Linked DNA regions of Arabidopsis thaliana. The protein of the gene in region 1 interacts with the protein of each later gene in a biochemical or structural test. Each region holds a gene or a part of one and is shown in the gene's direction. Other genes may lie near its edges.

What was found.
Region 2: the proteins of BI1 (region 1) and CAM7 interact in far-western blotting, tested with the Arabidopsis thaliana proteins (one study listed by BioGRID).

Annotation. Positions count from the first base shown.
Region 1 is NC_003076.8:19,133,101-19,140,577, forward strand, and holds BI1 (BAX inhibitor 1), read left to right. Parts: upstream 1-2,851; 5' UTR 2,852-2,970; coding exon 2,971-3,084; intron 3,085-3,481; coding exon 3,482-3,625; intron 3,626-3,723; coding exon 3,724-3,815; intron 3,816-3,915; coding exon 3,916-4,102; intron 4,103-4,194; coding exon 4,195-4,350; intron 4,351-4,434; coding exon 4,435-4,485; 3' UTR 4,486-4,925; downstream 4,926-7,477. Other genes in the region: LIL3:2 (Chlorophyll A-B binding family protein), read right to left, coding at 1,118-1,371, 1,458-1,595, 1,754-2,138; AT5G47130 (Bax inhibitor-1 family protein), read left to right, coding at 5,917-5,976. UniProt on the Arabidopsis thaliana protein: Suppressor of apoptosis. Modulator of endoplasmic reticulum stress-mediated programmed cell death. Involved in methyl jasmonate-induced leaf senescence through regulating cytoplasmic calcium level.
Region 2 is NC_003074.8:15,660,605-15,669,421, reverse strand, and holds CAM7 (calmodulin 7), read left to right. Parts: upstream 1-2,952; 5' UTR 2,953-3,066; coding exon 3,067-3,142; exon of another isoform or gene 3,143-3,788; intron 3,789-3,941; exon of another isoform or gene 3,942-4,429; coding exon 4,430-4,799; coding exon of another isoform or gene 4,800-4,803; exon of another isoform or gene 4,804-5,290; intron 5,291-6,035; coding exon 6,036-6,234; 3' UTR 6,235-6,422; downstream 6,423-8,817. Other genes in the region: GSTU27 (glutathione S-transferase tau 27), read right to left, coding at 7,638-7,994, 8,167-8,493. UniProt on the Arabidopsis thaliana protein: Calmodulin mediates the control of a large number of enzymes, ion channels and other proteins by Ca(2+). Among the enzymes to be stimulated by the calmodulin-Ca(2+) complex are a number of protein kinases and phosphatases. Activates MPK8 in vitro.

The DNA of each region.
Region 1 (7,477 bases):
TAATTAAGTACGTACGCCATCCAACAATCCAATAATGTAAACTATATAATGTTCGCCTAAAAAAAAGAAATGGATTAGCATATCCATAAGACATGGCCAAATCATGCATGTTACGTATATTAAATTTGAAACTGGGATCCTGGCTCTAGTAAGAGTGGTTTATAATTTTATATTGGGTTTAGAATTCCAAATTAAATGGTCAAATTCTTTCATTCCAATACAAGCAGAAACTTTTATGATAGTAAAAAGATTATGAGAAGACTTATGAGGTGTTAAGAAAGTGGGAGATGTATTATGAGGAGGAGAGATTATGAGTATAGTAAAAAGATTATGAGAAAAAAGATTATGACAATAGTAAACAAGAAGGTCCATACAGTATCCATGTTTTTCAAGAAAGTGGGAGATGCCAAAGTCCTGGACCTAATATTTTTGTTTTAAGTTTTGATAACTAACTAATTTTTTTTAAATCAGACACAAAAATAAACATAGACTGTTGATATTTTAGAAAATTAAGATCTATTAAAAAAATATTGTATTTTCTTATAGATAAACAAAAAAAACTTTTTTTTTACTAAAAGACTAATATCAAACTGTCCTAAGGTCCCTACTAATTTTGGGCCGGTGGTCCTGACAAGTGACAACAGTTTAATGGTCCATTTTGTACTTAAAATTGAGTCAAATTAGTTGCGGCAATAAGAGCAGAGCAGTAATGTGTTACACCCTTAAAGGACGTTAGTACTGAAGCCCAAATTCTTTGGAGGTTGGTTGGTTGGTTGATGAAGTGCGGTTTTGATTAATTCACAAATATGACTTACTTGATGACTTTTCACAAACATCCATCTGGAAACGCTACTATTTGATGATGTATTAACAGTAGAAAGCATATTAAAAAAAATAAAATCTCTTATTGATTAAATTATCAAGCGTCAAAACGAAATAGGTCTGCTTTACAAGTCAAAGACCTTCGATACATTATCTTTGAGACTACTTCATAGAGATTTTTAAAGCAGAAAGATTACAAAATCTGAAGATCAGTAGTTCAGTAGAGATAAACTTTCACTGATTCACAGATTATTGCATAACAAAAAAAGGAAAATGAAAGATTGTAAGAACTTGTTCACTTCTTTGAAGAAACTGTTGATGAATCTGGCTCTTTCCATGCAGCTTGCCATTGTTTGTCATATAACGTAGTCTCATCGAACAGATCCTTAAGTTTGTCTAAATCTTCATTCTTACGGATGAAGAGAACTCCAGCTACAGCCACAAACAAGAGTGTTTTGCAGAAGAAATTTCCCATTTGATCAACAAGTCCTACTCCGGTAAGACTATCAACAAAGTAAGCCATGAAGAACCCTATCATCGCAGCACGACCTACACCACCAAGACAACAACTTAGATGCACAAAATGTTAAGTGTACTATATCTAAGTGTTAGATCATAAGTGTTTTGAAAATCACCATTGAGAAGTTCAGCTTCAGGTAGATGGTATCTCTTCATCCATGCCCACCATGGAATAATCGAAGTATCGAAGACAACAAGCTCGTCGTTACTCGTTGTTTCCGGGTTATCTTCAAGCCATTTTCTCCTCTTTGCCTCTATAAAAATACATAATCAACACATTTACACAACAAACACTCCTCTTCTTACACACCACTATAAGAAACCAAAGCAGAATCTTCCTAATAACAAAGCATAGACATATATCAAGTATTCAAAGAATCTGTACTGAACTGAAGTTTTAAAAGGATCTAACCAGAAACGATAACAGAATCCCAATCAGTTTTGCCATCTTTCTCGAACTGTTTCAGATCCCAAGTTCCATTAACCCACTTCGCATTCTGATATTTGATTACCGTCTCAGTACTCGAATCAGTCGCTTCACCTCCAACGGCGCCGTTTTCAGAAGCGGAGGAGCTTTCGGCTGGAGATTTAACTGGAACTTCCTCTACAGCCACAGAAGCAGGCTTCGGAATCTCCACGACGGGGGAAGTCGTACCATTGTCGGAGGAAGCTCTAGGGACGGAGATTAGAGAGAAACGCTTGGTGGAGAGAAGAGAGGTTGAGATCTTGGGGATGAGATTAGGGTTCTGAAGTGAGGAAGAGATCGGCGGAGAGAATAACGCCATGGATATAGACATTTTTTTGTTAAGATCTCTCTCTCTCTCTCTCTCTCTCTTTGTCTCTCTCGATCTCCTCTGCTCTGAGTTTTTTTTTTTTTTGCAGAGTTAGTTTGAATGTGTGGTTTGAAATGAGCTATGAAGGAAGTGAAAGAGATGTTGTTATCGTTAGAAACTTGGATTGTATGTCGTTTTCCTTTTTTAATTCAGTTTAAGGAAGAAACTACGTGATGTTTTCTGTAAGCAAAAATAGAAAGATAAACGAGACTGTTAATGGGCTTTGCGATCAGCCCATATAGAACTAGAATTCAAAACCTGACATTTAACCATACTCTCGACCCATGATTTACGAATTGACTAGACGATATGAAAATGTCCTTGGTCTTTTCTTTATTAGTTTGTTAAACTTTTGATGCAACTGAAAATAATAGAGAAAGATTATAGAAAAGTCTTTGTAAATTAATAAATACTGTTATCCAAAATACTTTATCACAAAACTAAAACAAATTTATTCCTAAGCTTAAACAATAATATGTAAACTAAGTGAAAAATCCACGTGGATGATTCTTATTGGTTAGATGACGATTTAGATATTTCATTTGCTTCGCGGCAAAGTTTCAACTCATTACGACGACGACGATCTCAACGTTCAAGAAGTTTCCAGAACTACCCTTCTCCGTGTTTAATGCCCCTACACGTGTAGCGAATGCGTAATAACTACACATAAGCAGTAAGGGTATTATTGTCAATTTAGTCCCCAATCATAAGGCCCATTATAAATAACGAAAGTCTTTATTTTCTAACTAATATTTTCATTAATCGATTCTCAAAGTCAAGCAAAAAAAACGAAACAATGGATGCGTTCTCTTCCTTCTTCGATTCTCAACCTGGTAGCAGAAGCTGGAGCTATGATTCTCTTAAAAACTTCCGTCAGATTTCTCCAGCCGTTCAGAATCATCTTAAACGGGTAAGTTTCTTCGCCGCCGATGTCTATTCATATCACACACCAAACCGCGATGTCTAGATTAGAGTCGATAGATTGAGATTCGTTTCGTTTTCGTGCTATTGATCGCTCTATGTTTCTATATTTCATCTAATTTCTATGATTTGGTTTCCGTTGAACGAATCGTTGCGATCGTACTTTATCTAGGGTTTCTAATTGGGTCTTTCCATGATTTAGTTTGTTGATACTTACTTGATTATGATTCTGTGGAGATCTTTCGTTATACTTTACTCTGCTTATTATTGTTAAGATCCTCTTGTTCATTTGTCATGTTCCATTTGCAGAAGGGAATGTGATTTGTATACTCACTCATGTTACAAATGCTCATTGGTTCTTATTATTTGTGGTGGAATCTTTGTAGGTTTATTTGACCTTATGTTGTGCTCTTGTGGCGTCTGCCTTTGGAGCTTACCTCCATGTGCTCTGGAATATCGGCGGTATTCTTACAACGATTGGATGTATTGGAACTATGATTTGGCTCCTTTCATGTCCTCCTTATGAACACGTACGTGGGCTCGATTTACCCAACCCAATAGTGAATTGGCTGCTTTCTTATTGTACTAAAGTTTCGTTTTCCTGACATTGTTGTTTGTTTTGATGCAGCAAAAAAGGCTTTCTCTTCTGTTTGTGTCTGCTGTTCTTGAAGGTGCTTCTGTTGGCCCCTTGATCAAAGTGGCAATTGATGTTGACCCAAGGTGTGTTATGGTTATGCAATTTGATTCTTGTTGTTCAATGTTAATTTTCTGTTAGACTATTCTAGGAGCTGACCTTTATATCTTTCTTTTGGTTCTCCAGCATCCTTATCACTGCATTTGTTGGAACTGCGATAGCGTTTGTCTGTTTCTCAGCAGCAGCAATGTTAGCAAGACGCAGGGAGTATCTCTACCTTGGAGGACTGCTTTCATCTGGCTTGTCTATGCTAATGTGGCTCCAGTTTGCCTCTTCAATCTTTGGTGGCTCTGCATCTATCTTTAAGTTTGAGGTAAACCGAATGCCTCTGTTTTAGAATGATCTGTTCTTTGTCTTACTTTCTCAGACATCTCACCATTGTTATGAATACGTCTCTGGTTGCAGTTGTACTTTGGACTTTTGATCTTTGTGGGATACATGGTGGTGGACACACAAGAGATTATAGAAAAGGCACACCTCGGTGACATGGACTATGTAAAACATTCGTTGACCCTTTTCACTGACTTTGTAGCTGTGTTTGTTCGGATTCTCATCATAATGGTAAGTTCATTTGTCGCTGGTATAAGAAAATGGTACACTTTATTTGTTAGTAAACCGTCATTGACGGACTCTTTTGTTATGCAGTTGAAGAACTCAGCAGATAAAGAAGAGAAGAAGAAGAAAAGGAGAAACTGAGGGGATGTAAAGTAAATTTAACTTTATGGTTGTTATCGTGTGTGGCCACTTTGAAGATATTACTTGTTAGCACTCTCTATTGGTGACCAGACATGTTTCCACTAAAAAGGATCTGCTTGTTTCACTTCTGCACAAGTACCATCTTCAGATTGTAAATGACTCGAGTGTTGTTCTTCTTTTCATAAACTTTTGTTCTTTAAGAGTTTGGTTCTACTGATTGCATCTTACCAAGCTAAGAATAATGTAGGAAAATGATAATCCTGTTTAAATTTTCTAAAATGTGTGCATTTCAGATTCTCACAGTTGCAACATTTGCTATTGCTTGGAAGTTGTAATCGAAAAATAACTTGCAATTTCCATGATAAGTGTGTAAAAACCTGCATTCTCGTGAAACGTGGATTTGAAAATTGCAAATAAATGGCGTTTAGCCTTTTGTCAAACGTCTGGTTGGAGCTTTTTGTCAAAATTTGTTCCCAATAGAATGTTGTGGTACGGCAAATGGCAAGGAATATACATCAGATTTTCCTTCTCACTTTAAAAACGACGTTATGTTTTGCATAGAGTCTAGACCTCGGAGCTCATGACCCGATCTTAAGTTTGAATCCATCCGACAAACCGACGATGGAGACAATACTAGTTATATACTTGCATATGTTCTGACTTCTGGTCCAAGGCAATCTAGGATTAGCACATTAACGTGTGTAGCATTTTCAATTGGGTTTTTGATACACTCCTTTTGCAATCCATGATAACATGATTGCAACTTGCAAAAGGATCTAAAAGAAAAGAAAATTAAAAATCACTGGCCAGAAATGCAAAACATGAACCAACCCCTAGAAGTTCTGTTAATACTTAATAGATGTAACAGAAGGAAATGAAGCCAAAAACGAGAACAAAATATTTGAATAAAACAATTACATCTCTGTTTTTTCTTTGTTTGATTTTTTAAAAGAACTAGGGAAATTGGAACCGTAAATTCTTGCATTAGTTCCTTTTTTTTTCTAGGAAACAGCAAGGAACTACTCTGGTCAAGAGATATTTGATCATATGACATTGGATTTGGGTTCTTCATTCCGGTTTGCTCGTTAACCAACGTTGGTTTGCAATTTGACCAGTTGCTGACTCATCTCTTTCAAGATATTTCATTTGCTTCTCGACAAAACAACTCCAACAATAACCTTGAAAAATCTTGAAGTGGATGGCTCTTAAAGGTTCGTTTCGTGGAAAATCAAATTTGCTTTTTTTGCGGCCAAATTTCAACTCATGCAATGCGACATCGACATAGGTCACAAAGGGTATTATTGTCTAACAAAAGACTCGTTACTCTCTCAAACAAAGAAAACACTTGTTTTTCTTCGTTCTCCATTATACTTGTTTCACTATTATACTTGTTTCACTCCATAAAAATCTTACCATTAAAAGAAACAGATCATGGACGGGCTTAAAGACTTCAGTCGGATCTCTCCGGCGATTCAGAGTCATCTTATGCGGGTAATCTCTTCGTTAATACTTCCTCTAGCACGAACAGTGGTTTCGTGGTTCGAGACGTGAGATCCGTTTCGTTTTCTTTAGTTGTTGTTTCGATTACATTTCTGTTCTTTAAGGTTTGTTTTGCTTTGTTCTTTTTTTTTTCTTTTTGTGGAGAAGGAAACTTAGAAAGATAGTGAAGAGGGAATTAGAGAGTTTTTTTATAATCTTGTGATTAGTTTTTCATATTCTTGTAAAGTATCTCAAACAATTTCTATCTTTTGATAATATTTTTCATGACTTTTATGACTTTATTTTGTCATGAAAAAAAATGTAGAAAGTTATAAACCAATAACATAATAATTTAATTCATTACAATGAGAGATTCTTTTATTTTAATTGAATAACATAAAAGATTTACTCACTTTATAAAAGTATGCATCTAATAGCTCCAGATTTATGAAGATTTTAGATTATTTTTTACAAATCTTAAATAAATAACACAAAATTTTAACAAACTTTAAAATTTTTTAATTGAATAGCAACATATTCTACATGACATTTTAAGTCACTAAAACTCTTTTGAAATCATAAACCAATAACACCCTATTAGTTTAGTTTCTTATTTATTTAAGCTTTCTTTATACGTTTATATGAAAAAATTATTATTCAAATCTTTACTTCTCTCTGTTTGAATATGGATTCTCAAAAACCTGAGAGCTAGAATTACGCTAAGAGAGTGTTGTCAGTATTATGACTATACAATTAAATGTAGTTTTCAAAAAGAAAATTATAAAAAATGTATCTATATTTTTCTCTTTTTGTGATTAACGACTATTAATTAAGAATTCTATATTTATCCTAAATACAGATCCTTAATCTCAAAGTTAAATGGTAAAAGGTAACTTCCCAATTCCATAATTAAAGTAAACACATGAAACAATAGATTATACAATAATTTTAACGGTAGGTTTTTCTATTCCAAAAGATGAATCACAGATTGTTAGATGCTTTTCAAGAGTAAAATCTATTTCTTTTTTGACCACTTTATAAATCAAGGGATCTAGAACATATTTTCGAGAAAATGTTTCTCAATTTGCAATCTCATTGCCTCCTGAACCACACTTTTGAATTTTCTACGCTTATCCTTTGATGAGCCGCCTTCAAATCAAGATTTCCCTTCTTCAAACTCCCTCTTCTGTGACATCTTTCAGATACACACAAGAGCCGTTGAAATACCATTTACATAAACTTTTATGTGTTGGGTTGTTTTTGTACACCAAATGAACCATGAAGAGATTTTTAGCAAAAATAGAGTCTATCTCAAACTATTGTATTATATTTTTATAAGATGAACTTGTTGATAGAAATAGAGGTTGCATTTTTTGGCAATCCTACGTAAAACTCTAATCCAACCGAAGGTGAAGTTAAACCTCTAACCGTTAGTTGAGAAATGACTCTCTTCTTACCTATTTTCACCTTTAGCCTAGAAATAAAGGTTACATTTTTCTTCATTTTCACCTAT
Region 2 (8,817 bases), on another chromosome or scaffold:
TCTCATAATGAAAAACGTTATTAATTAGGTCGCAGCCTCAAACTCAAATGTACACAAACGTACAAGACTTGGGTGAGAAAGACGCTAATTCTGGACTTTTGATCTAAAAAAACGTTATAGGAGTGGTCCACGATCATTTCATCTAGACATGGACATTGACGGGCCAGCTAAGAACTCCGTTAAGATTCATCTAGAGAAGCAGAGACTTCCACCTGGAAAATCAAGGAGAAAGAGTTACTTGAAGGTCAAGAAATATGTAGCCTGCAGGACTGATAAAGATGCTCAGATAAAGTTGAGCCTGTACGACCCTTACGAGTTCCATCTTGTGAACCCTAACCGGCAGTCTTAGTTAAGGAACTTGGCCGGTTACAAGCTCTTACCTAGTGGTAATGCTGCAAGTTTACTCGATAATGATGATCCGCCACATATTAGAGGGGCTTTCACAAACAATCAGGAACTCGGTTTAAGCTCGGTTGGTTTGACAGGTTCAACAAACTTGATGTATAATCGATGAAAGTTTTTGGTTTAAATATAGGTGACTCGGTATAACCGGTCAGAGAAATGGGCTGGAGGGCTTTTGATGTACCAGAACCGTGGTGAAGATACGCCACAGGTTTGGTCAGACAGGTACCCACTTAAGTAGTAAATTGCTACTGAATTGGTTAATTGACTAAAAGCTTTTACAAGTCATGTTACTTTGTATACTTAAACAAGCTAAAATTAAATTTCTTTTTCATCCTTCTGGAACCACCATAAGGTCATTATGGCCAGAAATGTATGATCTTTGGTGATTTTTATTTATCCAGCGTTATAAATTATCCACCCATTAAGAAAGAACAAATTGATTCACATGAAATCGTTAGACAATAATAAGGATAGATCAAAGCCATCCTTCGACTAAAAAACCCTTTATACCTTCAACATACCTATAACGAAGGGAAGTCAATCATAACAAAAAGAACAGAATGATCCATACCAAAAAGAAGCTCTATGATATAATACTAAGAAAAAGCAAACACCTTAACCTCAACGCAATAATCTACCATCAAAACAATAACGGGAACAAACAATAGATCAAAGCTATATATCCGGCAAGTCAAAATTCCTCTGCATTTCTCGCATTTCACACATACCTATTCAAAAAGAGCTACCATCACAAACATAAAAAAAAGTCAGAGAAGCCTCCAACAATAAGAAGTCAGAATACAAAGGGAAACATATAACTGCACTGTTTATTAACAATTGTCTTGTGAATTCGTGTTATACCGTTACTTAATAACAATTATAAACTATAAAATATAATTTTTCTTTAAATAGATACAAGTTGTAAACCTTAATATATACTAACGTTAAAATCGCCTAGACCAACGTTTGGACATCAATATAGAATATCAGGTTACATCAATGTATCAAATTCAATATGAAATATCAAGATACCATAACAATAATACAGAAATATCAAATTCAATATGAAAATCTGATTTTTGCTTTACTATTAGCAGAAAATTCATGATCTGGACATAAGTAGTTAGTAGATTAGCCTAAGTTAGTAAAAATTAAGTTACAAACCTAAAAAACAAATTTGTCACAAAACTAGAATTTTTTTATTTTTTGGAATACGGGTTAAATCTTTAATTTATTATTTTTAGCACCACTTATCAAATCAGTCTGATTAGAAAAGATTATATAAAATCAAAAAATATTTTGTGGTATAGTGCTACTTAATAATAATTGTAAACTATAAAAATAATTGATGACAATTATATAAATTTTTTAAAAATCGTAAAATCAACGCAATTGGCGGGAAATTTTTCTACAAAAATTTTCTACTAAATTACGGAAAAACCGTAAAATCATTCTCAATCGTCTACTAATATTTATTGTCTAACCATTTTCTTTCTTGTGTTATAATTTTGAAATGTGATAAAATAAAGAGAATTTATAATAAATGATTATAGATTTGAAAAGAATGTACAAACTAACCTTGAGTCACAGTAGCTTGTCGGAAACATATTGGAGAACACATGTAATTACATAAATATCCTTTGTAACATGTTTTTTTTCCGAAATACATGCGATAACATAATATCTCTTTTTATCTTGTTATTTTCTCTTATTACATAGTATTTATAAAAAGCACATGGTATTTTATGGAAAAAACATTCTATTCAGTTTAATATCTCTTTTTATCATGATATTTTGTAGTAATACACATTTTTTATTAAGATCACACGTGATTTCTTTAAAAATATATTCTTATTTTTTAGTAATACACGGTTTTATTAAAATCACATATAAATTTTTTTTAAGGATTATGTTCATGTAAGAAAATTTCATAATAATGTTTTTTCTTAAAAATTCATGACGTTTTTTTAAATAGCATGTTTTAAAACTAAATATAACATGTGAAATTTTAATGTTACATGTTATTTTGAAAAATTACACGAATGTGTTTCGTTTACAGTTCATCTTACAACAAATGAAAGGTAGCTTTGTTATTTCATTTCTTCCGACAACATGGGTCCATGGTTATTTTGTAACAAAAAACTTTCTCTCTACTAGTTTCTTAATTTGTATGTTTTATTTGGTTATCTAATATTACCCTAAAATAAACTTAGCAAATAGAAAATGAATTTTATCAAATTGCCTACACCAATGTTTGGATATCAATGTATAATATCAGGTTACATCAATATATATCATACCAAGATACCATAACAATAATACAAAAATATCAAATTCAAAACTATTAGCAGAAAGTTCATGATCTGGACATAAGTAGTTAGTAGATTAGCCTAAAATAGTAAAAACTAAGTTGCAAACCTAAAAAACAAATTTCTCCCAAAACTAGAATTTCTTAATTTTTTGGTCTGAGAAATTAAAAGAGAAAGACGTTTAGGAGGGCAAAATCGTCAATTCAAAAATACCTCATTTTACCTGTAGCTGGTGAGATCTCATTTTATAAAGGAGAAGGAACATTCACTCTCACGCGCTTCAACTTTCTCCAGAAACAAGAAAATATCACAGCAAAAATTTTCTCGAGAAAATCCGAAGAAGACAAAAAAAATGGCGGATCAGCTAACCGATGACCAGATCTCCGAGTTCAAGGAAGCTTTTAGCCTATTCGACAAAGACGGAGATGGTCTCTTCTTCTTCTTCTTCTTCTTCTTCTTCTCTCAGATCTCTTTCTCTTGTCGTTTTTTTTTTAGATTTCTTCGCGGTGATCGTGAATCTCTGCACATTTCGTTTATTGTTTCATGTGATTTGAAGAACGATCTCGTTTTGATTCGTTCAGTCTTGCTCACATCTCCAGAGTGTTTAGGGTTGATTTTTGCTTCTATAGAAGGATCTAGAATATGTAGAATCTCCTTTAGTATATTCGTTGATGATTACTAAGATTTGTAGTTATGGAATCTTGTTTAATTAGGTTATTCATCATATTCTAGATCCTACATTGGAATCGTACATTGGAATCTAGTTGTTTCTCTGTGATTTACTATGATTCTGAACAAATCCTGTGATTATAATCATGCGGATTTGTACGTTCTCACAAAATTTAGTGGCATTGTGGTTTTAAGATTCAATTGTAACATGTAGATTTATCTGCAGATGTTTATACTCAAAATCTAAAAAACGAAATTTGGTTTATTGTGTGATGTTGCCAAATAGAAAAATAGAGAAAGAAGTTGATAATATCATCTCTGTTGTTCTTCTTTACAATAGTTGAGAACTTGCAACGGTGTGCATTTTGTGATGCTTATTGGCAATACCATCATATTTAGAACATTGTGCATTTCCTGGCCTTTGATTAGAAAGAGGCTTTAAATGTTGCTTGGTGGTTTGTGTGCAAAAAGTTTCTTTGTTAACTTGGTAGATGTTTCCCGAACAATCAGTTTTACTTGTCGTATACTATGATTGGGGTTTAAGAGTATTTTACTAAGAGCATTTTTGAGCTTTCTTGTGAGAATAGGTGCATTTCCTGGCCTTTGATTACTAAGAGAATAACATCATATTTAGAACATTGTGCATTTCCTGGCCTTTGATTACTAAGAGAATACCATCATATTTAGAACATTGTGCATTTCCTGGCCTTTGATTAGAAAGAGGCTTTAAATGTTGCTTGGTGGTTTGTGTGCAAGAAGTTTCTTTGTTAACTTGGTAGATGATTTCCGAACAATCAGTTTTACTTGTCGAATCGTCGTCCTTTTAAATGAGATATACTATGATTGGGGTTAGTAGTGTAAGGATATTTTACTAAGAGCATTTTTGAGCTTTCTTGCATTTGAAAACTTGACATATTACTTGTGTTTAAGATAATTGGTTTATATATCTTCCTGATCTTGTTGACAATATTAGTGTTCATAAAGTTATACTCGGAACTCTTGCGTTACAAAATCTGAAGTTGTGTCCAATTTTGGTTTGATTGCAGGTTGTATCACCACAAAGGAGCTTGGGACTGTGATGAGATCACTTGGGCAGAACCCGACAGAAGCCGAGCTCCAGGACATGATCAACGAAGTGGATGCAGACGGGAACGGGACAATAGATTTCCCAGAGTTCCTGAACCTAATGGCACGTAAGATGAAAGACACTGATTCAGAGGAAGAGCTTAAGGAAGCCTTCAGGGTTTTTGACAAGGACCAGAACGGTTTCATCTCGGCGGCTGAGCTTCGTCACGTGATGACAAATCTTGGGGAGAAGTTGACGGATGAGGAAGTCGATGAGATGATCCGAGAGGCTGACGTCGATGGTGATGGTCAGATCAACTATGAAGAGTTCGTCAAAGTCATGATGGCAAAGTGAGATTCTTCTTATCCCTCGAAATCCTAAGCATGTTTTTCTTTTACATCTTTAAAACTGAGAAAAGTAATTTATTGAACCAAAAGAAACAGAGAGATTTGCTTCCTTGTTTGTTTTGTTGATCGTGATTTTTTGGTAACGTTGCTTCTTCTTTGCCTTTTGGTTTTGTTATTGTCCGTGACGTTTGAACTCATAATTTGCTTTAGTCTCTCGAGTCATGACCACTTGATGATGTTATTTTCTCTTTTCTCTAAAATATTGCAGTTTATTGAGATCGACTAATTATATCCATTACGTGGAGAAATAATTGCTTACTAGTTGCAAAAACGTGCACTGTAATTGTTTAAAATTTAGTGTCTTTGCAAGAACAAAGTAGTAGTAAAAGTTCTTGGGATCAAACATTTTCTATTTCAAATACCCACTTAAGGCCCAATGGTATGGTTGATAAGGCTGTTAAGGTTGTGAGGGTTTATTAGCTGATGAAGGCCTATCTTGTGAGTAATAGTACTGTCAAACTACTCCATCTTGTGTGGTTCTCCCCTAGATTATATTTGAAAAAAAACTAATTTATCTACGTATAGACATTTTTCTTACTATAACATTAGCTCTAATTTGAATTTGATATTTGGATTTATAATACACATAAACGTATATAATAGTTTGTTCTATATGTTTTTTATTTAATTTTATTTTATATGTTTATTTAATTATAGATATAAATTTTCCTCAATTGTTTAATTTTTTTCTATATTAAAATTGAATTATATTTTATTTTATGCAAAATCAACTTTTAGTATTTACAAGTTAGTCATTAAAGTTATATTTATAACAATTATTATAATTTCCACTATACTAGTCATAGACTCATAGTTCTAGTATTAGTATCAACTATATACTAATAGAACCATAAATTTGTTTGTTTTTTGTTTTTTTAATAAATCTTATCGACTGATCCGGTCGGCCCGTATAAACTATAAGTTTGTTTTTATAGAGTTTTTCTAATTTAGTTATTGTCAATTTAACATTCAAGCTCATTAAGTTTTCTTTAGTAATATGTAAGACTCTTTTTATGCAATTCAGTTCATATATCTCTCTTCTCTTTTTTTTTTTTTTGTGACGAACTAAGAAACAAAAAAGAATTGACATTTTACAGTTAATTCTATTATCTTCTTCATTTCTAAACCCCAAAGAAAGAAGGAACCAACTACTCGGTTTTTATTGTTTCTTGTTCTCAGTCATGTTTGGGAATGCGCAAGTAAATTGATAAAGAAAAGGAAGAAGAAGAAGAAGAAAAAGAAAAAGAAGAAGACCAAAAATGCTAAAAGGAATGAGAAAGAATTGATCCAGCATAACCCCTCACAGCCCGAGTCACATCGCGTTCCTAGCCGTTTGAATCTCCTCTGCCACCGCTCTCATTCTTGCTCGATTCTATAGCTCACTGTACTTGCTGATCAAGAACTAACTTAAAACAATGAAGACGAAGAATAGTGAAAGCTAATAGTAGATAACTTGCATATATCGAGGGATTGTTTAAAAAACATAATAATAACCTTGTATATAGGCTACGTAATGGCATAAAGAAAAGATTGGTTGGTGGATTACCATGCGAGCCGCTGGTAGAGGACTAACAATTATGTACTTGGATTCAAACCATTTAGTTTAGTCCTAAGAAAAAAAATTAAGTTACCAAGTTTATCTCTAGGAATTTAGAATTTTAACAGTTTTATAGATTTATATTCATCTTGTAAACGATAAACGATAAACAAAACCAGTAGTGTCTCCAACCGCCGAAATGTTAACAATTAAACGATAAACATAGATTTTTTTTTCTATGATCAATTTTAGAAAAATAAAATTTACAAACAAGTATTTTAATTATTAAACTTTGAGAGAATGAAATGTAATAAAGAAAAGAAAAAAAAATTAGAAAATTTTTTTTGACCCACGTCTCCCTCTCAAATGCTCTCTTTCTCTTTATTTAAATCTGTTACACCTCTCTTTCTCTCTCACCAAACAAAAACTTTTTCGAATATTTTAGTAATTATAAATAGTAATTGTACTACTTCTCCAATTAAGTTACGGAAATGTACTGTTTTCTAAACAAACTCAAAGAAAAAGGTTAAAAAAATTAAAGAAACAAAAACTATAACACACTAAACAGTCTTGTAACAACTGAGAGATAAAAGTAGAAAAACAAATGAGTTAAAATCTATCAAAATGTTTAACCATATATAATGTCATGATAATATCTCGTAAGTCACTCGCATGTAATATCAACATCATCTTTACTGTCATGGAAGATTTTATTGCTCAACACTTAGTGACCAAGACTTAATATACTATTGCTGCTACTCCATATTGTAGATTTTATTATTCTTGAATGGTTTTTTGTTTAAAACTAGAAAAAGACTGGACAAGTCTTCATTACGAGAATCAGTGTGTTGGTGATGATGTATTGGATTATGTTCCCATTTCCTTCGCATCGAAAGACGATATGGCAAAATAAAGATCGAGAGTAATGGTGTTTATATACCATTCCACAAGAAACTACATCAAGAATTAAGTTAAACTATAGTAAGATATATAATTGAATTCTTTACCAAATATCGACATTGTTATATAATTGAATAACATAGGAATTTCTAAAAGTTTTCCATCAACATAGGATAATAATAATAAAAATAACTTATGATATATCAAGAACAACAAACCCATTTTATTTCAATTATAATATCAAATGAAAAATAAATTTTTTCACACCAACTACTTCCTTAAGCATTACAACATTTCTTATTATTTTGGTTAACTTACATAAATAGAGCATATGATTTAGACTATCAATAACCATAGAAAAACTCATGGACCTTTATGATCTGAGTGACTCGATCAAATATCTTCAGCGGGTCAGGTAAAGATTTCGAGATAGCGGGTCGGGTTAAGCATTTACGGATCCAGTCCATTAGCTTGGGAGTGTGGTCCTCGACACTAAAACCACCAATAGTCTCCCATGTGTGGAACCAAGGGTAGTAGGAGATGAGAACCAAGTCCACCATCGAAACGTTGTCGTTTCCTCCGAAGTAGACCTTATCTCCAAGCTCTCTTTCTAACACTTTCAATATCTCTATGAACTCTTGTTTCGCTTCTTCTTGTTCTTTGCCCCTCTTTGTCCACGTTCTTCTTCCAGCGTCAAAAACCTGTTTATATTTTTGTATATGAATCACAATGAAATTGAACTTTTAGTCTCCTTTCGTTGAACTTTTTATATACACACCATAACATTTAATATTATGAAGTATTTAGTAGATTGTATTTGTTATTCTTAAGTATCGTCCAAAAATGTAACGTTTTAAGAAAGTCTAGTAGTACCTTTTTGTCAATCAAATCAGCCCAAAATCTACACTGTGACTTCTGATAAGGATCAGAAGGTAGTAGACGGAGAGTCTTATCGTCTTTCCAGACCTCATCGATGTATTCGACTATGATATTGGACTCGCATACCGGTTTACCGTTGTGGATGAGAACCGGAATTTTCTTGTTAACCGGGTTGCTTTGGAGCAATAGATCGGTCTTCTGACCAAACACATCTTCTTCCTTGTACTCGAACTTGATCTCTTTCTCCTCTAATGCCATGATCACTCTTGCTCCGAACATGCTTGGCCAGAAGTTCAACACCACCACTTCTTCTTCTGACATCCTTTTTTTTTTGATCTTCTTCTTTTTTTTTGGTTTTCAATGACTTTTCTTTTGGTGAAATGAACTTGGTGGAGATCAAAGCCCTTTTATGGCTCTTAACTTATAAGGGCAGTTGACAAAAAATATAAAAAATAATAATCATATAAAGGTGGATCAATAATGATTATGATTTAATATTTTTTTTGTGATGCATGTGAGGTAATGTTGTTTAATCCAATAGATTATAGATAACTTCGTTTGATACGTCATGAGTCGCAAGTGGTTCTTTTTTTTCTTTTCTGTTTTTAACTGTAGTGACTTGTCCATTTATAATCGGCGTTATAT